3 linked regions of the Saccharomyces cerevisiae S288C genome follow. The protein of the gene in region 1 interacts with the protein of each later gene in a biochemical or structural test. Each region holds a gene or a part of one and is shown on either strand. Other genes may lie near its edges. The genes, in order: AIP5, BNR1 and SPA2.

Region 1 (6,962 bases):
AGAAAAGAAGGAGTTTATGTTTATATACACCGGTGTAGGCTGTGCGTTGGTGTGAACACTTCCTGTTGCTGTTGCTGTTGAAGCCGTCTCCGCATGCAACTGTAGTCATACAGCCTCTTGTCTGCCCTTATTCAATTGACCAGCTAACAATAGCTTCGCTTTCTTTCTGAAAAATCCTCCAAGGGGTATTACTTGTGGGGGGTTCCAGGAACCCATAGGCCGGGGCATGTTTCACGGGAAGTTCTGTGGCAGGAAATGGTCCCTGAGTAGCCGCGCAGGTGGCTTTTGCCTTTGCCGTACCGATCGGGAAATTGTGCCCCTGAAAGATTCCGTTTACGGCGCTTCTGTGCAACCTCTTTGGGCAAGCTTTGCTCCTGTCAATAGAGCAATTATTTGACAAGGTTTCTTTTACCTTGTTTTATGTGGGTTAAACGTGGGAGGAGAACTATAAATCACATGTGCTGTCAAGAGATTATGTTAGTTACGTAGCGCGCTTAAGCTTTCTTAAATAGTATCGTAAATGAGTTCCCGCAATTTGTAGTCTTCGTTAGCTTCTTCTATTTCTTCCCAGTTCCCGATTAAGTCATTGTGTCCTCTGACCACACCTGGAAGACTCCTACCCTTGCTGAAAGTCTTCCAAACTTTTCTCGCTTCATCATCTGTGCCAAGATCTCTGTAGGTGAACGGGATTCGGTTGGCCGTCAGGATTGTGCTTAAGCGATTTGTTCTGGGGATCATATGGAAACCGCCTCCGGCTAGTGACGTGTATATATATACAGGTTCCTTTTCATTCAGCTTCCGGATCTCGCTAGTCGTTATTACGTCTTGTGGCTTGTCATTGTTTTTCTTGGATTGCTCAGTAGTTTGAGTTGTGGAGTCTTTCGCATCTAGTGATTGGAGTAGAGCGTTTAGTTCAGAATCATCAACAATTTTTAGTTGCTCTAAAAACTCATTCGTTTCGTCCAAAATATCTTTGAAGATGTCATCTGCACTTGCTTTCTTGGGATTTTCCCTTGTACTTTGATCTTCAAATCCATTTTCGTCATTGTTTGGGGCTTCTTTACTGATTGACTCTGTTTCATTGAAGTCTAACTGGGATACCTCCTCTTCTTCTTGCTTAATTTCATTCTTTTCCTCCGTGATGTTTTCTTCCACTACAAGATCAGGAAGAGAAGTTTCTTTCTCTGTTTCTTCTACTTCCAATTCCTTGTCTTCTCCTTTATTATCCTTTATATCTTGTTTTTCCAATTCTGGCAATTCGACTGTCCTTTGAAATTCGTCTGAAATGTTGATATCGTCGATCTCTTGATCTCCGGTGACATCTTTGAGCGCCTCAGCAATCTTAGAATTTTCCATATTCTCGTCTTCTTTTGTCACGGCTTCCGCATCCTTTTTTGAAACTTCTGCCTCCGTACATGTTCCATCCTCTATTGGAGTCTCAGCAGGTTCCGAACATTTTGTTTCGATGTCTTCTTTTGAAGTTGCAGCAACTTCCACATCTTCATTTTCTTTATTCAGTTCAGCAGTGACTTCTGCCTCTTTTGGAGCGTCAAGATTTCCAAGCTCTGCCTTTACCTTGATAAATTCAGTTTTTTCGGAATTCTCCACTTCTGCATCTTCCTCGGTGTCAACTTCCACATCTTCATTTTCTTTATTCAGTTCAGCAGTGACTTCTGCCTCTTTTGGAGCGTCAAGATTTTCAAGCTCTGCCTTTACCTTGATAAATTCAGTTTTTTCGGAATTCTCCACTTCTGCATCTTCCTCGGTGTCCTTCTTGACAGATTCGCTGCTAGGTTCTATATATTTTTCGGCAGTTCCAACATCACTTGCTTTTGAATTTTCGCTCGCAGCCTCAGTAGCTTCACCATGTTCATGATTTGTATCTTTGCCGGTGATTTTATCGCCTTCTTGTGTAATTTCAAAGCGTTTGGGTTTTTCTTCTTCTTTGAAACTAGTAGTAGATCCTACATCTCCCATATCCTTTTGTGTAGTTTCAGCTTGTTCTGTTGAAATTTGAACGCGCTGGGATTTGGGATCTTCTTCTTCGGAATTCTCAATGGTTGTTGCAATTTCTGGCTTTACATCTTCATCGGGAACTCTAACATCTTCCTTTAGAACCTCAGGATCTCTTTCGTTGATTTGAAGATCTTCTGGTCTTCCGGAGGTACAACGCTTAACTACTTTTGGAGACTCAGGAGTCTTCGATTTCTCAACCTCTACACCTTCTGCACTTTCTCTTGCTGTTTCATCAACCTCTTTTTTTGCTTTCTCGTTGGAAAGCTCAGCAGTCCCCTCTTGCTTCTTTTTCATGTCTTCACTGATAGACTCAGCACCTCTCATTGCTATTTTATCATCTTTCATGGCCTTAACAGGTTCATCCAGCTTGACTTGTTCCCCTTCTTGATCTTCTTTGGCAACCTCGAGATCTTCAGGTATTATATTTTTTTCCACAGCCTCAACAATCTCTACATCATCCCTAGGCGCGTCAGGTATATCGATTTCTCCGACAACTTCCGTAGGCTTGTTTTCCTGAGTAGGTGCTTCAGCTTCATCTTCAAGAACAAGGTTATCTTTAGAAATTTTTGCAGAGTTTGCGCTTCCCTCTATTTCAATAATGGAAGATTTTTCTCCCGCTTCTGACTGCTTTTCATCTCCCCCCATAATTTCCTCTCCTTTTGATGTAGATTCTTCTTCGGTACCGGACACTTCATTATTTCTTACAGCTTCTTGCTCCCCGGTTACATTTTCTTTTTTAACTTTTGAAAAAGTCGAATTTTCTTCTTCTTCTTCTTCTTCTTCTTCTTCTTTTTCAACTTCTACAGATATATCGTTAGTACCGTGTTGTAGATTTTTTTCATTGTCACTAATGCGCTTTGTTGGTCCCATCGTTTCGTCATCATAAGTCTCTCGCTCAGTTTCTGGAGGGATGATACTATCACTACCAGCTGCGTTAAAATTATGGCTCATGTTATTCTCATGATTAACAGATAATTCTTTCCTACATTTTTCGTCTTCTTTATCCTTCTGTTCAAAAACATGGTCTTCTTTCCCGATTTCTGTTTCTTTCTGATTTTTTGCAAGAACTGAAGGACTTATTCCGTCTCTATCACTTTCAGTCTGCTGCTTTTCCCCAGCTTTCAAATGTTTTGATTCGTTCTCTTTGAAATTAAACCCATTCTTAGTTAAACTTTCACTTTCAACATCCTTAGTAGACGCTTGCCCATTTTCATCACCTGCCTCCAAACCGTGCGGCTCTAGTTGGTGTTTAAAAGAAGCTGCATTTCCCTCATTAACATTTAAGATCTCATTCTCTTCTCGAGGTAAGGTATGTTCTGCCTTTTCCTCGTTGATATTGTTCTCGGACTTTGAGGAAGTTTCGTCAACATTATCTTTGTTAGGCACATCTATGTCGAAGGTTTTGTCACTAGATTCATTTCTGGTTCTGATATCCATTTTTTCGACATTAACAGGCTCATCTTGGACAATATTTACTTTGATATCCTCGTTCTTTGAACCATCTTCCTGTAGGTACTCTTCAATGCCTACTAGTATGGAATCTAAAGTTGACTGTTTTGACAAATCAGTAGTATCTGCAGGATTTGAAGAATTACGACCTCTTCTATTCGTGGTTTTTTTCTTTTTGTTTTTTTTTCTTCTCGTAATTGGGCTATTGCCAACCTCAATTCCTGTGGATTCTTTGATTGGTGGTACATTTTCTGTGCCTTCCGCTACATTGTTAGTAGAAGTTTCTTTGATAACTACATTGACGTCTATTGGGATCTGTGTGGGAGATTCTGTAGCGTCATTTATTGTATCTGTGGCTATCTCTATTACGTCGTCTTTTCTTTCCAAATCATGAGAGATTGCATCCCGTGTGGAAGCTTCCTCGGTTTCACCAACAGAACTGGAAAGTTTTACAATAGTATCTCTGTCACGATTCGCCTTTATTTGTCCCTGGTTTTTCTTTTTATGACCTTTCAATTTAGAAGATTTCCTTTGAGATGATAATTCCTGTGCAAAATTCTCAGTGGCATTTATCGCTTCATCTAAGTCACTTTCTGTAAGTTGATCTCGACTTTCTATAATATCATTCGTACTTGGTAAGGGAAGATCTGTAGCAAGTGTCGAATACGAATCTCCAGCACTAGTTACCGATGGGGGTTGAACATTGTGTTCCTGATTTTCTACAGTCAAAGATTCTACCATGTCACTCTTTATTTAATCCAGAGTAATCAAGCACACCAGTACAATAATTGCTAACAGGTTTAAAAAGAGAAAGTGTTCTGGAATAAAACCACTTGCTTATATGCGAAGTGACTACGAAATATTAAGGGAAAATATACGACAATTTCGTGTTCAGAAACTTAACAAATATTTTCATCTTGTCTGTTATATTCTCGGAAGCTTTAGGATAAATTTATCCTTAAAAAAAGGACTGCGCAAGCCCGGAATCGAACCGGGGGCCCAACGATGGCAACGTTGGATTTTACCACTAAACCACTTGCGCTTATTTCTTGGAAGTGTTCGTGTTCTAATAAGGTCACAACAGCTCCAACATTAACCAGAAATACCTGTAAATAGCCCCGCCACGAGGCAACAATTGTCTCTGTATTCTTATCTTTCTCAATAAGCACTTATTAGTTAGTTTACATCCGAGTTCTTGAGCACTCCCCACCTTTTTAGTAGGTCTGAAGTCTTGTTTACAACAGCGGGCACCTCAAGATTGAAAGGAGTTGAGAGTTAGAATATATAATTTTGAAATTAAATTTGAAAATGATGCGATTACCACCGGCAAGTATTCAAAACAAAATAAGACGAGGGAGCTTCATAAAAATTAGGTCGTATATGTTGAAATGAGAGGATTTAGTACATTCTGTATTCATCATATTATAGCCTTTACCAACAATGAAACTCCAGTAATTATCAAATTATTCTCCCAATTCTCACCGAACATGCGGCAACGTTAGGTACGGATCGCGGAAAACACTTTATTTTGTGCAGAGGTACTGTCATGAATACTATGTCAATAAAAAAAGTATCGCATTATCACCACGCCTATATAACATAATCTAAACTATTCGTGAGGGTACAGAAATCCATTGAAATGAATTGATAGTTCTACACGATATCGCTGTCATTTTATTGTACGTTTCAAGTTTTACTAAATAAAAATGACATCTGAAACAGATTAAGTTTTTTTGTAACTTGTGCCCGTTGAAATAGGAATTAACTGTTATAATTGACAATATTCATGTCAACACTATATAGTAATATATAATAAAGAAGGTAACTTAAATGGCGATAGGCGGTCAACAAGTCTAGGGAATCAGAAATGCAAGAATGAATAACGTAATAGGATAGCGAAGGAACATATCAAAAACAAGGGAAAAAAAAATTGGTTCTATATCTAGATATATCTAGAATTTTTGGACTGGTTTTATCTCAATTTCCACCTATCTTTATGTATTATCTTTCGACCGTCTTATCTTTTAATATGGTGGCAGGAATACCAGTCAGACAATGATTGGATCTTGTCTCGGGTTGTTTGTTATCACGTAAGCACCACAGTCCGCTCCGTAGGAAAAGAAAAATAGCCGCCGAGCCACGGGAGCAAATGAGTGAAGAATATGCGCAACGTTTTGGTACATATACAAAAAAATGTAGAAAAGAAGCTAAAGAGATTGACGTTACGTACATATGTATGAGTGGGTAGGTGTGGACGACACTAGGGAGGCTTTACTTCTCTCCAAACATGTGAAGCTGGTTATAGATGTCCTTCTTAAAGTCCTCGTACTTAAAAGACGACTTTCTACGCGTGCCCAACTGTGGAGGAGAGCCGTGTGGGACTCTTGCGCTGTTACCATTGCTGTTGTTGTCAAGGTACGAGTTTTTGAAAATGGGTCTGTTGCCAGCACGAGAACAGATCGGTGTATGGGAGATGGAGTCACCCATATCCACGCCAGCGTGGCTCAGGTCAGAGTCGTTAGTGGTCCTGTATTGCATATTGTGGATAGTATTCTGGAAATCCATGGGTCCGCTACTCCTACGTTCGGCTCCCGGGGCGTGCTCCCCGATACTGCTTTCGCGTTCCCGGGCTTGTTCCCTGGAATTTAGTGCGTCCATATAATTGGTAGACCGCCGTCTAATCATGGGGACTGGCTTGTCTACGCTTTGAGCGGGAGCGCTTGGACCCGGGAGGTTGAATGTAGAAACACTAGGTGTTTCCTGTGCACAGGGCGGTTCGTCGATGTTGAGGAAGTCCTGTGATCTTTCAAATGTGGGTGACGTGCTCACTTGGGGCGTGTTCAAGTGGGGATCTGTCATGAGGGTGAGTGTATGCGTGTGTGTGTGTGTTGCGTAGATGTGTGATTTACTATGTGTTATGTAGCTGCTCTCATCGCTGCTGATAGTAGATCTCTCGCGCAAAAATTACTCAGGCAAACCTTTACTATACCTACATATATATATATATATATGTATATGTATGTGTGCAAGCTTTTCAGAGTGGTGCACTGACATTGACCGGGCCACTCATTCCACCCCACATCCCCCAGATCAGGGGGAGATGTTAACGAAAGGAAACAGGGGATTTATCACTGGTTACGGGAGCGTAGTGACTGTACTACAAATTCGCACACAAGCAGCGCCCAGTGACGAGTCTCCGCGGCGTCTAAGTGCCGGAAGTCATCATCCACGGTGTGCCATGTACTTGGGAATGGTAGCGGGATTGCATGTAATACGGGTACTCCGGCGGCCAGGAATGGCGTGTGGTCGTCTCCGATGACCGAATGCCCGAGCCCTAAAAATCGATAGTCCGTGGGGTCCAGATGTTTGCGTTGACGCGCGACTTCGGCGGCTAATGCCGATTCGCCGTTGATTTCATCTCCACGTCGAAATAACAAGTCATCCTCTATTCGATTGAGCAGCTGATATTCTTGATGTGTCTCTGCATAGTAGCTGGG
Region 2 (7,515 bases), on another chromosome or scaffold:
TCTTGTTGACAGTATAATTCGTAAAATCGTTTTCATATGGGTCATCCAGTTTTATTTCTTCGTGTAACGCAGTATTTTCTGTGCTCGATGACAAGTTTGACGTAGAAGCTGATCTCAAACTACTCGTTTCTTTGCGCGATAGCGTCAGTGGATACATAAAACTATAGGAAGGATCTCTGACCATCCCATAATTCACCTTTTCGCCGCTGAAAATGACGGGGACATTGGTATATGCAGTGCTCTGCTTTTTTGGACGCAAAGTCCCCATACTAGCGTTCAATTGCCTTCTGTATGCTGGTGTGTACCCTGCCTTGGCGGTTTTTTCTTGGCAGGGTTTAAGATCCTGGTTTGCTTCCTTTTCGTTTATCGTGGAAGCTTCACTTGAGCTGTTAATTTCGGCTTTAAAACCATCATATACCGACACTGCCACTTCTTCCATTACCATCTTCTCCAAATCAGCATCTCTAATCTCTTCTTTTTTGTAACGTCGTTGTAATTTACACCAAAATATCAGGGCTATTATTACGCCCACAGCAATTGGAATCCCAACTGCCGTTCCCACTGCCACAGACACATTGCCCATCTTTATTCAATAGTCTGTTTTGATGATTGAAAAGTAGATTGTTTTGAGCTAAAAATTCGATGCTTTCTGTGCTTATTTTGAAATTTATTAATGAATCTGTCCATCTCCAAATCTTAGTTCTTAACTAGGAAATTTGTCAACACGACCACCGCCCGAAAAGGGAAAATATTTCCCTTTTGAGAAGCGATTGCGAATATTGTCCATTTCTTTATATAAGCTCCACAACTACATAAAATACTAAGTCTTCACTATATATTTTGAATATCGTTCAGCATAGCATGCGTTCTCTCTAGTAAAACGTGATCTTCATCCTTTCTCGTTTTTACATCTCCTTCATGTACGTTAATGGCTATTTCATTGAGTTTTGTACTCTTTCTTCTTCTTAGAGGTTCTGGATCCTTCTTTACTTCGCGTAATTTAGATATGAGTAGATCAACAGCATCCCTGTTTACTTTTTCACCATCGTTTTCATCACTTCCATTGCTTTTCTTATTACTGCTTGTCCTCATATCTAACAAGCTCTTCCTTTGTTCGTACACTCTTTCCATTTCCTCCTTTTCAATGTTTTCCTTGGCACATTTCTTAAACATGGCTAAAAATTCAATAAAGGGTTGGAAAAATTCGTTTTTACTCTCTTTATCTTTGGGATCTTCACCGTAATATTTCATCAGTTTATTCAAATCTATTAAAGTTAATTTACATTGACCAATCAATAATTCACTTTTTGTTTTGGCCCGATTAATCTTAAACTTGACCTTTTTAATAATTTGATCTCTGGGGTCTAAGTTCTCCTCTTTGGATAGCTTTCCTACTTGAAACTGAGTAACTAAATCCTCAATTTTTTTATGAAATTCATGACACTCTGATTCAACGTGTTCTAGTGAGATTTTACCTAAATCTTCAATGTTCTTCAAATCATCCACAAAACCGTATATATCAGGATATTTTATTCTTATGACTTTTTCAATAAAATGCAAAAATGATACATTTTGATCAATACTGGATCTGACAAAGGCAAGTTTAGTCAATGACTTCAATTTGATACCCTTAACAATTCTTTTATTCATATGATTGCCTATTTCCGTGATAATAAACATCAAACTTTTAAATTTAGGTGAACGATTTAAGTGTGAAATTGCATCATCAATTTTTTGTAACTTGAAAATCAAATCGTAATAATCTCTCTCGTATGTTGACAATGTCAGCAGACTCTTTGATCTTGCATTCCAATAAAATCTTAAATTGATACACAACTCCAAAAATATTCTGTCAGCTCTTTGTAAGTCACTTACTGCTTTACCATCCTTACCCTGTGAATATGGCTCGTACTTATTAAGCATACTTTTTGGTATATTTACTAACTCTTCTTTACAAAAAAATTTCAGTATGTTAACATTTTGGACAATGTCGTTATCACAGTTCAATACTTTCATAACAAATTCCATATCAGATAATTGGGAAAACATGTGTAAATTAATACCAAATTGCTGAGCCAAATCTCTTGATAAGAATGAAATTTTCTTCAGCTCATTGGAAGACTTGCCATTGTTTGAAGACAAGGCAATTGAGGATTCTGCGTTCCTTTTATTTGCAATCTTAGTCGGACTTTTCATCTTAAAAATATCTTCAATCTGAGAGAATATACCATCAGTTTGTAATTCTTTGATTGTTTCTTGGCGTTGAAACGTGTCTTCCCAAAGTGTGTCTTTGATATCCTCCACCTTATCCCAGTGGATTTGCTTCAATCGCTTTTCAGTTGGAGGTGGTTTTAAATCGGTTGTCGTTGGATTGATAGACACTGAGGAGGAAGAAAGAAGACCATTTGGTAAAGGTGGAGCTGGAGGAGTAACTAAATCGTGATTGGAGGGGCCTTTGTTCATCGACAAGGACTCGGGTAAAGGCGGTGGCGGTGGTGGTGGTGGAACGGCGCCACAAGTTTTAGTTTTAAATAGATCTGGAAGGGGTGGCGGTGCAGGTGCTGCAATACAGGAAACACCATCCGGTTTAGCTTCTGCTTCAGTCAAAAGAGACTGTGGAAGTGGAGGAGGGGGAGGTGGAGGAGGGGGCGGTGGAAGTTGAGGTAGTTTAACAACTTCAGGTACTAGTTGGATTCCATTATCAAGACTATCTGAGGAAAGTCGAGGGAAAAGTTTTGGTGAAGAAGAAACCGAAGACAACACGGGAGACGATTGGTAATTAGGTTGTGTTCCTAGGCTATTTGAAAATTCCAACTCTGAAAGTATCGAATTTAGAGAGACATTTTGCATATTAGTAATATTTTTCATAGAAGGGATATTAAAATTAATGGTTGACGTAGATCTTTGAAATAATGAGTCTTTTGATTTATCTTCGGATTCATTTTGGGACTCATTTTCGTTATTTGCATCAGTTAAATATGATGAAAGGGACGTAACTCTTTTACTTTTTAGTAGACTAGTTGAACGCTTGGGCAGAGAAATTTTTTGCTGCTGCTGTTGCTTTTTTGCTAAATTTTGGAAAATGATATTTCCATGACTATTATTTTTTATTATCGAGCCGGCAATACTCAAGTTGCTACTTGCCAATGAAGGTGGCTGGTCATATAACCTTTGATGCGTGGTAATTTGGTCTAGTCTTTTCTTGGTTGCCTTCAACTGCAGTTTCAGATTTTCAATTTCCTTGGTTTTCAGAGATATCAAAGATTCACTTTCATCTAGTTTTGCTATTAAATGATCTTTATCATGATTTTCTACTAAATTTAATTTTTCATTCAAATGAGAAATCTTAGCATTAAGATCATCAATTTCTGTGACCGCTCTTCTAGCAATTTCATCAGATTGTAGAGAATCCAACAATTTATTAACAGAATCTTGAAAAACATAATCCACATTTTCTGCGGACTCCAAGGTTTCATCAAAAGAAGGATTCGTTGACACTTGAAAGGAATCTATGAGATAAAACAGCAAAGAATTTATCAATTTTAATAGTTTAATAGATTCTGAGTATGGTTTTTGAGAGTCTAAGATTTTCCACAGCGATTGAATAATCTCGTTTATTGGTGCCTCTACGGGACTATCTTTTGCCTTCAATAACAGGCAATTTTCAAGACATAGAGGCTCGCTTTCTATTCTTGCGATATCTTTTGTTGGGTGAAGCGAATTCGTATCGTTGGTAGTTTTTATCATCGAGTCAAATATCGCAGATTCTTTGGATTTGAATTGTTTTATTTGTTCCATGATCACGACACTATTAGGATCATCTTTATAGGCCAGTTCTAAAAATGTGATAGTGTTATGTATATTATTCTTTTTCAAAAAATTCAAAATTTCTAGTGCAGTCTTGTTGTTGAAACCTTGCAGTATGGAGTTTATTAGCAGTAGGAAAGTTGTCGAATAGTCTATTTTTAATTGGTTCCAGTTCAAATAAAGGGATGAATGAATTGCAATATCATCCGCAAGGATTTTGTCAAACCATTCTAGCCAATCGGTGAATAATATGGAAAGCTGGTCCCATATCAACTCACAACCCGTGGAACCCTCAACATACGTTAATAATAAAAGTAACTCCATAGAAAGTAACTGACATTTCAAATTAGAATTTTGATCCGTCAGAAGCTCGGTGAACCAGCGAATTAAAGGCTCAGAATGTAGTGCTCTTATTCTCGCCAGTGGGTTGTTCATCAGTATTTTAAAGCACCGAAGATAAACAAATTGTAATTCCTTGGATATGAGTGGCAAAGTCTTTTCGATCAATGTCGTCAAGTAAATTTCATCCTTGAGAAAAAGTTGCAAAAAGCTTTGCTTTCGCAGGAATTTTTCTAGTTTATATAGAGCCTTCGATAACTTCATGCCACCTGTTGAAAGGTTTCTAACTAGGCCATCCAAAAAGTGTGCGTTTTCAGCTAGTTCATTAGTGGCCAAATGTGTAGAGTATGTCGTGCTCGAAGTCACTTTCTTTTTCCCCCAATGATTGGAACTACGGATTTTACATATCAATAACCATTTCCTTCGTAGAGAGATGTTTTGTAAATTCTTATAAGCAGCCCCCCAAAAAAAAGTTCCATCTTTTAAAAGCTCATCAAACATTCTTTCGACGAGTGATGCGTCCTGAGGCATGCACTTCGGATTAAAATCCATTTCCGATCCGTTCACTTCTTCGGAAACCATTGGTGACGAAGAAACGTCATTAGCTGAGAAATTCTTCTGTTTCATGTATATATGTGATCCTGTACCTTGTTTCTCTAACGCTACACCGACCAACTGCAAGCCAGCGGCAACCAGCCCATCGTTCAAATTCAATTCTTCCAATTTACGGGCTTCGCTGACCCTATCACGCGCGTGAAGTGACAGCGATCTGCGAGGGTAGCGGTACGTCTTCTTGTTCGGGGAAGAGTCCATCGCTGATGATTGTGCTATTTTTTTATCTGCTTTTGTGTCACGATCATCATCACTATGTAATCTTCAAAAGATCAAGAATTTGCTAGTTTTGAACCTATGCCACAAATAGCGAAAAAAGAAAAAAAACTTGACGCGTCAACATGAGGAGGGTAATGATGTGGTAGCGCCGTGTAAGGCGCTATCAAAGGGAAACGGGGATAATAGTATTAACACCGCAGCTTTTTTTTCCTTTCTCCCTCTATTGGTTTCAAATTTATTGGAGTTTTACTAGAAAGAAGAGATATAAATAGGGTATACTTTTGCATCTCAGTTCTATTGAAATCGAATGGTTATTTCTTGTGGCTCTGAGTACAGAGTGAATATAACACTACATAAAAGCAATGTCTCAAAGACTACAAAGTATCAAGGATCATTTGGTGGAGAGCGCCATGGGTAAGGGTGAATCGAAGAGGAAGAACTCGTTGCTGGAGAAAAGACCCGAAGATGTAGTTATTGTGGCTGCTAACAGGTCTGCCATCGGTAAAGGTTTTAAAGGTGCCTTCAAAGATGTAAACACAGACTACTTATTATACAACTTTCTCAATGAGTTCATCGGGAGGTTTCCGGAACCTTTGAGGGCTGATTTGAACTTAATCGAAGAAGTTGCCTGTGGAAATGTTCTCAATGTTGGAGCCGGTGCTACAGAACACAGGGCTGCATGCTTGGCAAGTGGGATTCCCTACTCGACGCCATTTGTCGCTTTAAACAGACAATGTTCTTCAGGTTTAACGGCGGTGAACGATATTGCCAACAAGATTAAGGTTGGGCAAATTGATATTGGTTTGGCGCTGGGAGTGGAATCAATGACCAATAACTACAAAAACGTCAATCCCTTGGGCATGATCTCCTCTGAAGAGCTGCAAAAAAACCGAGAAGCGAAGAAATGTCTAATACCAATGGGCATTACTAATGAGAATGTTGCCGCTAATTTCAAGATCAGTAGAAAGGATCAAGACGAGTTCGCTGCGAATTCATATCAAAAAGCTTACAAGGCGAAAAATGAGGGGCTTTTCGAAGATGAAATTTTACCTATAAAATTACCAGATGGCTCAATTTGCCAGTCGGACGAAGGGCCACGCCCTAACGTCACTGCGGAGTCGCTTTCAAGCATCAGGCCTGCCTTTATCAAAGACAGAGGAACCACAACTGCGGGCAATGCATCCCAGGTCTCCGATGGTGTGGCAGGTGTCTTGTTAGCCCGCAGGTCCGTAGCCAACCAGTTAAATCTGCCTGTGCTAGGTCGCTACATCGATTTTCAAACAGTGGGGGTTCCCCCTGAAATCATGGGTGTGGGCCCTGCATACGCCATACCAAAAGTCCTGGAAGCTACTGGCTTGCAAGTCCAAGATATCGATATTTTTGAAATAAATGAAGCATTCGCGGCCCAAGCATTATACTGCATCCATAAACTGGGCATCGATTTGAATAAAGTAAATCCAAGAGGTGGTGCAATCGCGTTAGGCCATCCCTTGGGTTGTACTGGCGCAAGGCAAGTAGCTACCATACTAAGAGAACTGAAAAAGGATCAAATCGGGGTTGTTAGTATGTGTATCGGTACTGGTATGGGTGCCGCCGCCATCTTTATTAAAGAATAGTTTTAATACTTGATAATAGTTAATATTCTCCCTTTTTATTATGCTCATATTTATATGGTTTTGTAAAAGCTATTACGTAGTTTATCAATTTGTTTATAATTTTCCATTTTCAATATTTCTAACTCACTAACCAAATAGTTTATTTGAGATAATATCCTCCAGTCCTCCTTAACCAATTGACGGGCTTTCCAGTTGAAATTCGCTATCACGGTGTCCATGTAAGAGGAAACTTCTTCATTACTTTTCATCGTTAGTTTTATTGGGGCCTTTGGATAATCCAAAGGTATGTTGAATAAAATTTTCAAAGAAATCTTACCGGAGTCTGTCATGGGGGAGATTCGATAGCCATATGAGGTAACGTGCTTACCCTTTTTAAACAGTTTAAAATCGGATAAGGTGTGAATGCATTGTTCGATTTCTTCTTGCCTTTTTGCGATTTGTTTTCGCTCTTCTACATTAATTTCCTTTGAGTAGTGTAGGGTATTCTTTTTATTAGCTCCATTATTGTTTTTCCGCCTTCTGTTTTTCGCTTGAGATTTCTCGACTCTCACTTCTTCCCCTCCAGTCACAGGTTTAGGTTCATTTTGTTCCTTTGTCTCTGTCTTCTTATTTCTGTTTCGATTTTTATTCCGCTTTTTATTTCCATTTTTAGCTTTATTTGTGCTCTCCTCATTCCCGATTGGAGTTCCTTCGTTTCCCAAACCAGAAGCTTTTCCCTGAGATTTTTTAGCTCCTGTTACAGATAGCTTGGTATCCATTTCCCTCACTACTTCTTTTTGAGAACACTTTTACGTAGAAGACAACGCTTTTTTTTTTTACAATATGGTATACTTCTACTTAATGCTTTTAAATTTTCACATAACTAATACTTTACCCGGTTTCATTGTGTCAGTAACAAAACAGATAAAGGCAAAAAGGTCCA
Region 3 (7,799 bases), on another chromosome or scaffold:
ATAAATTGGGCAACTCTCCATCAGACCTAAATTCAACGGTGATAAAGCATTTCGACAGAAAAACTTTAAGCTTACAATGGCCTGAAAAAAATAAACGCGGAGATACCATAACCACCGAAAAGTCAATGAAAAGGGTCTTGCAGTCATGTGATCGCTTAGATATTTACATCTCAAAGGTCTTGAAACAGGATTACGGCGATAGCTTAAGCATCAATTGGAATCTACCGCCGGAGAAAAACTGGTCTTTGATAAATTCGAAATTGGCATGGAAAAGACAAACACATTCCTCTTCTTCCTCAACTACTGATGAACTCGATAAGGAAACTTTCTTGTTTTGGTACTGGTTCATCGATCTACTCAGGAAAATGTTTGAGTTCGACCCAACAAAAAGGATTACCGCAAAGGACGCTCTGGACCATGAATGGTTTAATCTGGGCATACTGGATGATGGTATTGCAACTTATAATAATACCCAAGGATAGTGGGTGTTCTCGTTCTACTTTTCTCTTCTTTTTTTCACATCTTTTACTAGTTCCGTTTTTTTTTTTTTTAACTCTTCTTTTTCATTTTCCGGTTTTTAATAATATTTCTTTAAATTTCTATATTCAATAAAAATTCTTCCTACATATATATCTTCATATTCAAACATTTATAGTATTTTTACTAATTTTTTGTTGTTTTAATATACTATAATAATATTATTATTACTGCTACTACTATTATTATTATTATTATAATTATTATTATTATATGTCATACATAATACATTCTATTGATTGTCTTTGTCTTCCTTTTCTTTCTCCTCTAGATACTACTAACTTTACTTCAACTTCGAATTCAAATAATTTATTTCGTCCTTCAAACTTGCCTCTTCTACAGTTTTTACCAGCTCCTTTGTACATTTGGCAACATCAAACGCAATCCCTGCCAACCGCTGTTTGAAGTTTTTGTCAGCATAATCTTGATCGCTCTTTTCCTTCGCTAGTATTCCATCGCCAGTTAATTGGCACAAAATTGTCATTCTACGCGAACAGTCTCTTAGACTTTGCACCACCCAATCACCGTGTTTCTTCAAATTGGCATTTCTGCTTTGCTCCATTGATATGCTAGTAGCGTCCACCATTTGACCTATGACTTGGTTGATTGCATTCGATTCTCCCCTCAAATTACCCTTCGTCACCTGTGGTTTCTTGATCGATGTCAAAAGCGATTGAATCGTGGATATGACGTCCATTGTTTGATGTTCTAAATACAATAGTAACTCTGATAGTGTATTATCCGGATTTTCAATGTCAAATGTATCCACATCAAAATCACTGTCTTCTTCCTCTTCATCGTCATCTTCACTTTCCTCTTCCTCACTTCTGTTTTGTTCTTGTTCTTGTTCTTCATGTTTCATGGGAACAAATTGATAGCTAGAATCATCATCATCACTATAATGTTTCTCGTCATGTGCCGTAGTTTCTCCAGTATTTTTTATCTTTATGTGGTTGTTAATGCCGCCGTTCGACTCTGAGTTCTCGTATTGAACCGGTTTACTGTTTAAAAATGGTGAGTGGCTCGTCTTTTTTACCTGTGAATTTTCAGTTGGATTTACGAAAGCATGCTTTCTTTCAGTGATGTGTATTTGGGCATCAGCTCTTTTTCCATTAACATTATTTGATTCATCAATATCTTCCTCGGAAGTATGCACTTCTGCTTCGCTTTTTGCTTTACGATCAACAGGTATTTTATGATAATCAATTTTTCCAGTTTTCGTATATGCACCAGTGATCTGGATATTGTGGTTCACTCTATCAAAATCTTCGTCCTCCTCCTCTCGTTTGATCGTACGGTTTAAGTCGGCGTCTCTCCAAGAAGTATTGGCATCCTTGTTTGTTGGTTCCACAGAAGTGATAGTCTCAGTATGTGGTTTATTAGTTTCTCGTAACTCGACATTTTTCTTTATCGGTGCTAGAGGTGAATTTTTTGCCAATTCAGGAGAAACAATTTGGCTATTCGGTTCTGGGAGCCCGCTCTTTTTCAGTGTAGCTGAAGATGGAGTCTTTTCGACTGATTTTGGTGATCCAGTTCTATTAACAGCCTTTGGAAAGACAATCTTTTTTAGTACTTTTGGGGGGTCAACATTCTCTATCGGCTCTGAGGAGGCAATGTCTCTCCTTATTTCTTGAGGTTCAGACACAGTATTTCCCTTTAAATTTGGGGATTCCATTTTCACTGTCATGTTTGAGGGGATAGTATTGCCTACTGCCTCCAAGGACTCGCTTTCCCTTACCATTCTTGGAGATTCAATTTTGTCAACTTCTCCTGATGACGCCAACTTCCTAGCCGCTTCCGGGGACTTGATTGATTCTTGAGCTGTAATTTTTCCTGTCATACCCAAAGACTTAATCTGCTCTTTCATGCCCGGAGATTCGACCCTACTATCTGCTTCTGGGCCTACAACTTTTCCTGCCATATTCAAAGATTTAATCTGTCCTGTCATGCCCGGAGATTCGACCCTACTATCTGATTCTGGGCCTACAGCCTTTCCTGTCATACCCAAAGACTTGACCTTCTGCGTCATATCCGGAGATTCGACATTACCAAGTGGTTCTTGAAAATTTTTCTTCCTGACTGATTCTACAGATGCGCCCTTCTCTGGCATTTCTGAAGGCTCAACATCCTCTACTAATCTCTTAGGCAGCGAACTACTTGGCATTTCTGAAGACATTTCAGATGACGTGATTTCCTTTATCGATTCAGGAGATTCAATCTTCACGGACTCCGGTGACTCATGTAAATCAAGTTCCACTATATTTGCAGGTAGTTTGCTGTCATTATTTTTTTCAATTTTTGAACCTTCTCTCTTCATTGTTTGTTTCAATGCCATATAGGTAAAATCATCATCATCGTCTGCATCGTCATTTTCGTTACCATCAGAGCTTGAATCATCTGTGGACACATCATTCATTGAAGTGATAAATTTATTGGATAGTTTTGGTTTTGAATCCATTTCTTCTTTTGCTATAGGATTTTCCTTTGGTGATGATTTCTTTTCGGAACTTTGCTCAAATTGTTTCAGTTTATCAGCAATGCTAGAAGTTGGTTTAACAGAGATTTCATTTGTTATGTCACTCCTTTTATTATCCTCTTCTGTATTCTCGATTTTAATATTGGGAACTTGATTCTCTGACGGTGGAATAACAGTACCGATTTTGGCTTGTGGAGGTAGTGTTAGTTTAGGAATTTCGGAAATATTGCTACTTGCAGAATTGGAGGCCGATGTTACTGCCTTTATGGGCGAGACATATTTATCATTATCCTCTTTATGGGAGCTATTCTTAGCAATTGATGAATCAATCATTAAACTAAATAGCCCCGTTCCTGAAGGTTTTCTTGAGGTTGTTGGAACTCCATTAGACGATGACGGTCTTATGATCGGACTGTTAATTGCCTTTTGTGTAATTTTCAATGGCTTGACTGGAGATTCTTCTTCCTCCACATCATTCAAGAAAGATGCTGGTTTTCTTGGGTTTATAAACCCCTTCTTCATATTTATTCCAGAAGTCGAGGGGAAAGTTGGCGTCATTGGGGTGGTAGCAGTTGGTGAAGAATATTCTAATACCTGTCGGTTACCTTCATTAGAGGTGGTGCTCTCACCATTTGAATCGGATTTTATTTTCGCTGAATCAATTAGATTACACATGGCAAAACAAACCTCTGAAACAGCAGCTTGCACAGTTATTTTCGGAATTAATACGGGACCGTAAACAGAGAAATATCTTATCGATGTGATCGCATGCGATAATGATGCCTTCAGTAAAATGACCTGATCTTTGTACTGTAATAGGTCGGCCGATAGTAATAGCTGGGAGATTAGGTTCGATAACTGGGATAATATTTGAAATAACTCTTCGCCAATTTGATGGGAAATTGCCGTGGAGTCGCCTATGGGTACTGCGGAAAGCCTAGTAGTAAATTGAATTATCAAGTTGTTAGCGTTTAAGATGTATTGAGCTGGAATGAGCCCATCGGCAGAAGAGTACTTGCTAATAAAACCGTCAGTGATTTTCAAATCATTATGGTTGTCATTCTTTTTTTGATGCAGTTCGAATTCTGAAATTTTCTGCTTCAAATTTTCATTCTCAATTGATAATTCACCGATTTGAGAGTTTAATGACAGCAATTCTTTCTGAAAACTTTCATCAATGGTGTAGTTAATCTTTAAGTTCTTTTCCTTTTCTTTTTCCTCCTTCTCTTCCTTCTTCTCCTTTTCCTTCTCGCTGGTTAAAGATGCTAACTTAGCATTCAAATCTTCAATTTGCAAATGTAAGTCGCTGTTTAAATCAGTCAGTTCTTTAACCTTGTCTTCCATCTCTGAGTTAGGGTTATTGTTCTCAGCCCGTTGTACTTCAGGGCTCTTCAACTGTTCGGGACCCTTTTCGTTATCGATATCTTTATCTACCTTGATAATTGGAGAATCATTAACGTCCCAGTAATTTTTATGCGTCGTTGTTGGAGTCCTTGCCATTGATGTGATATCACGAGCGAGCACTTGGGAGTCAGGCAGATCAGAATCTGTAACTATGGGGTTTAGAGCAGGTTTAGCCTCTTTCTTTTCATCCATGCTTGTTTGTTTTCCCTCCGGTTCATTTGGCTTCTCCTTTACTTGCTCCTCTTCTTCTTCCTCAGAAGACCAATCGATAGATGCCATCTTAGGAATGACCAAAGAAGGTTGTACGGAGACGTTTGGAGCTACTTGAGTCACAGAGGAAGAATTTGTGGATGTTCTTGCAGTATCATCGCTGTCTTTGCTGACCTCTTGTTTCATCGGCTGCGGTAATGGGGGCCGTGGAGCATCCAAATCCTTGTCGAACCCTCTTCTCTTGATCTCAAAAAGGATATCGTCCAACAAATCATTAAATCGAGTTTGTGATAGATTGGCCAGTTTCTGTCTAGCCTGGTTCCTTTTCATGTGGAAATTTGCCTTCGGCAAAAGGTAATCTGGTTGGTTAGCATCTTCACCGATTCTCCTCTGCAGCTCATCGGACACGTCTGTACTCAGCTCGTAAAATTGCGAAGAAGATAGCTTCAACAGCTTGGCTCTGGCCTTTTGAGCTCGTGTCGAATTTGACCTGTCACGATTTTCGCCAGTCACCTCGAAAAAAGTCTTCAGTGAGACGTAGTAATGGAAGATATCTCTATGATGTGCGAGAGAAACCTCGCTTGACGTACCCATGTTTACTCTTTCTTTTCTTTTGTTTATTCTGTTTCGGTGGCTCGTATTGCGTTATTCCTCACGCCTTGATTTGAATCTTCGTCTCACGTGGTTTCTCAGCGTCTTTCACACGCTTCTGACCAAATTTATCTTACCGAACTATACGTAGCTATGTGTTGCTTTCTGCTGAAAGAACTCGATAATAGAATATTATTCTCAAAATACTTCAAAGTTTATTCTCATCGTTTCCAAAAACGCGTCACGCATCACCCGGCGCAGTATTTCTTCTTCCTTTTCCGCCATAAAAAGTCATAATAATAAGCCTATCTCAAGATTCTTATACTACTTTTAACAGTTTTATTGATAACTTACTTACGTTAGACCATCTTTTTTGTGCAAACCTTTGGTAAAAAAAAAGAACTGCGCTACCTTCTCCTAGTTTATGTATGGTACGGCAACTCATAGTTAGTTTTCTGTGCCCGTTTTAAGCACGACTTGAACTTACGTGATTATATGTATACAGTGCATGTTTTTATATAGAAAAATAAAAAAATGGGGTTACGTAGTCGAAGGATATAGCAGTGTCTAAAAACTTGCAAGAGCACTCGTAGCTCCCCGGCAGTGGAATCTTACCACTTCTCAGAGAATGTCGGAACGATATGTTACTGCACTGAAGTTTCGCGTTTTTTCCAATTTTGTATTATTTCATTCTACTCAATTTTGAGGTAACATCGGCGATGAGGTCTCCTTCTAGAAGTAACAGAATATGAAACTAAGGGCAGAAGACGTGTTGGCAAACGGAACTAGCAGACATAAAGTTCAAATTGATATGGAAAGACAGGTTCAAATTGCAAAAGATTTACTCGCACAGAAAAAGTTCTTAGAAGCTGCTAAACGCTGCCAACAAACTTTGGACTCTCTCCCAAAAGATGGTTTGTTGCCTGATCCTGAACTGTTTACTATATTCGCACAAGCTGTATACAACATGGAAGTACAGAATTCTGGTAATCTGTTTGGGGACGCTCTTCTGGCAGGTGACGATGGATCTGGGTCTGAGTCTGAGTCTGAGCCTGAGTCTGATGTGAGCAATGGAGAAGAGGGGAACGAGAACGGTCAAACAGAAATTCCTAATTCTAGGATGTTCCAATTCGACCAAGAAGAGGAAGACTTGACTGGTGATGTCGACAGTGGTGATAGTGAGGACAGTGGCGAAGGTAGCGAAGAAGAGGAAGAAAACGTGGAGAAAGAGGAAGAACGCTTAGCTTTGCACGAATTGGCTAACTTCAGTCCAGCGAATGAACATGACGATGAAATTGAAGACGTATCGCAACTTCGCAAGTCTGGTTTCCACATTTACTTTGAAAATGATCTGTATGAGAATGCTTTGGACCTACTGGCGCAGGCCTTGATGCTGTTGGGCCGCCCTACAGCAGATGGCCAATCTCTAACCGAGAACAGCAGATTGCGCATCGGTGATGTGTATATCCTGATGGGTGACATCGAAAGGGAGGCGGAGATGTTCAGTAGAGCCATTCATCATTACTTGAAGGCGCTTGGCTATTACAAGACCTTGAAACCCGCAGAACAAGTAACTGAGAAGGTGATACAAGCAGAATTTTTGGTGTGTGATGCTTTAAGGTGGGTTGATCAGGTGCCGGCTAAGGACAAACTAAAAAGATTCAAGCATGCCAAGGCTCTGCTTGAAAAACACATGACTACAAGACCCAAGGACAGCGAGTTACAGCAGGCAAGGCTCGCACAGATTCAAGACGATATTGATGAGGTGCAAGAAAATCAGCAGCACGGCTCCAAGAGGCCTCTTTCGCAGCCCACGACCTCCATCGGCTTCCCCGCCCTCGAAAAGCCCCTTGGTGACTTCAATGATCTCTCTCAACTGGTCAAGAAGAAGCCTAGAAGGCATTGATAGTTTTGTGTAAAATGTAGCAACCTACATACGTAATGTATATTTCTCCTTCTTTGGTACGGCGAAAGGGCCCCATTTTAAAAGGGTGAAAAAATATTTAAAGAGCAAGCAGACCATCCCTGAAATGACATACTTACTACATCTAAAAAAAGTCATTTTTCTCTATTCATAAGGAGCAAGAAACACTAGCCAAGAATAGTCAGTATAATGTCATCAAGACCCGCTAATAACCAAGGCCCCCCAAACCTCCCTGCCAGAGATAAGTCGCTCGTGCAAAGGTTCATGGCAGTAGCCAAGAGCTTGCAGTTTGCATGGTTTACCGGTCATTCCGTCGTATTGATCAGCTCCATTCTTTACCTGCTCAAGATGTCAGAATTTTATTACAGATCGGCATATCTCGGTGTCATCGAATCTTTCGGTATCATCATTTACCAGCAATTTTTCACCCGCAATGAACCATTGCAGACTCAAGATGCCGCTGCCACTAAGGCTTCCATAAAATCACGCGTTGCTGGACTCCTAAAGAGTGAAGACGTGCTTTATTTGGTTTTGGCCAACTTCTGGTTGTTCACTCCAAGATTTTCATTCAGCTTAATCCCATTTTTCGCGTTTGCTGTATTCCATGTTTTAATCTACGTTGAAAAAGTTCTCTTACCAAAAGTCTTCCACCTTTCC

What was found.
Region 2: the proteins of AIP5 (region 1) and BNR1 form a complex in vitro, tested with the Saccharomyces cerevisiae proteins (one study listed by BioGRID).
Region 3: the proteins of AIP5 (region 1) and SPA2 form a complex in vitro, tested with the Saccharomyces cerevisiae proteins (one study listed by BioGRID).

What each region holds. Positions count from the first base shown.
Region 1 is NC_001138.5:176,538-183,499, forward strand, and holds AIP5 (Aip5p), read right to left. Parts: upstream 4,207-6,962; coding exon 505-4,206; downstream 1-504. Other genes in the region: IGD1 (Igd1p), read right to left, coding at 5,737-6,324; YFR018C (uncharacterized protein), read right to left, coding at 6,594-6,962.
Region 2 is NC_001141.2:39,269-46,783, reverse strand, and holds BNR1 (formin BNR1), read right to left. Parts: upstream 4,960-7,515; coding exon 832-4,959; downstream 1-831. Other genes in the region: AIM20 (Aim20p), read right to left, coding at 1-583; POT1 (acetyl-CoA C-acyltransferase), read left to right, coding at 5,340-6,593; SMU2 (Smu2p), read right to left, coding at 6,644-7,351. UniProt on the Saccharomyces cerevisiae protein: May organize microtubules by mediating spindle positioning and movement in the budding process. Potential target of the RHO family members.
Region 3 is NC_001144.5:98,369-106,167, reverse strand, and holds SPA2 (Spa2p), read right to left. Parts: upstream 5,222-7,799; coding exon 821-5,221; downstream 1-820. Other genes in the region: serine/threonine protein kinase KNS1, read left to right, coding at 1-482; HIF1 (Hif1p), read left to right, coding at 5,967-7,124; nucleoporin POM33, read left to right, coding at 7,332-7,799. UniProt on the Saccharomyces cerevisiae protein: Involved in pheromone-induced morphogenesis and efficient mating, perhaps as a cytoskeletal protein.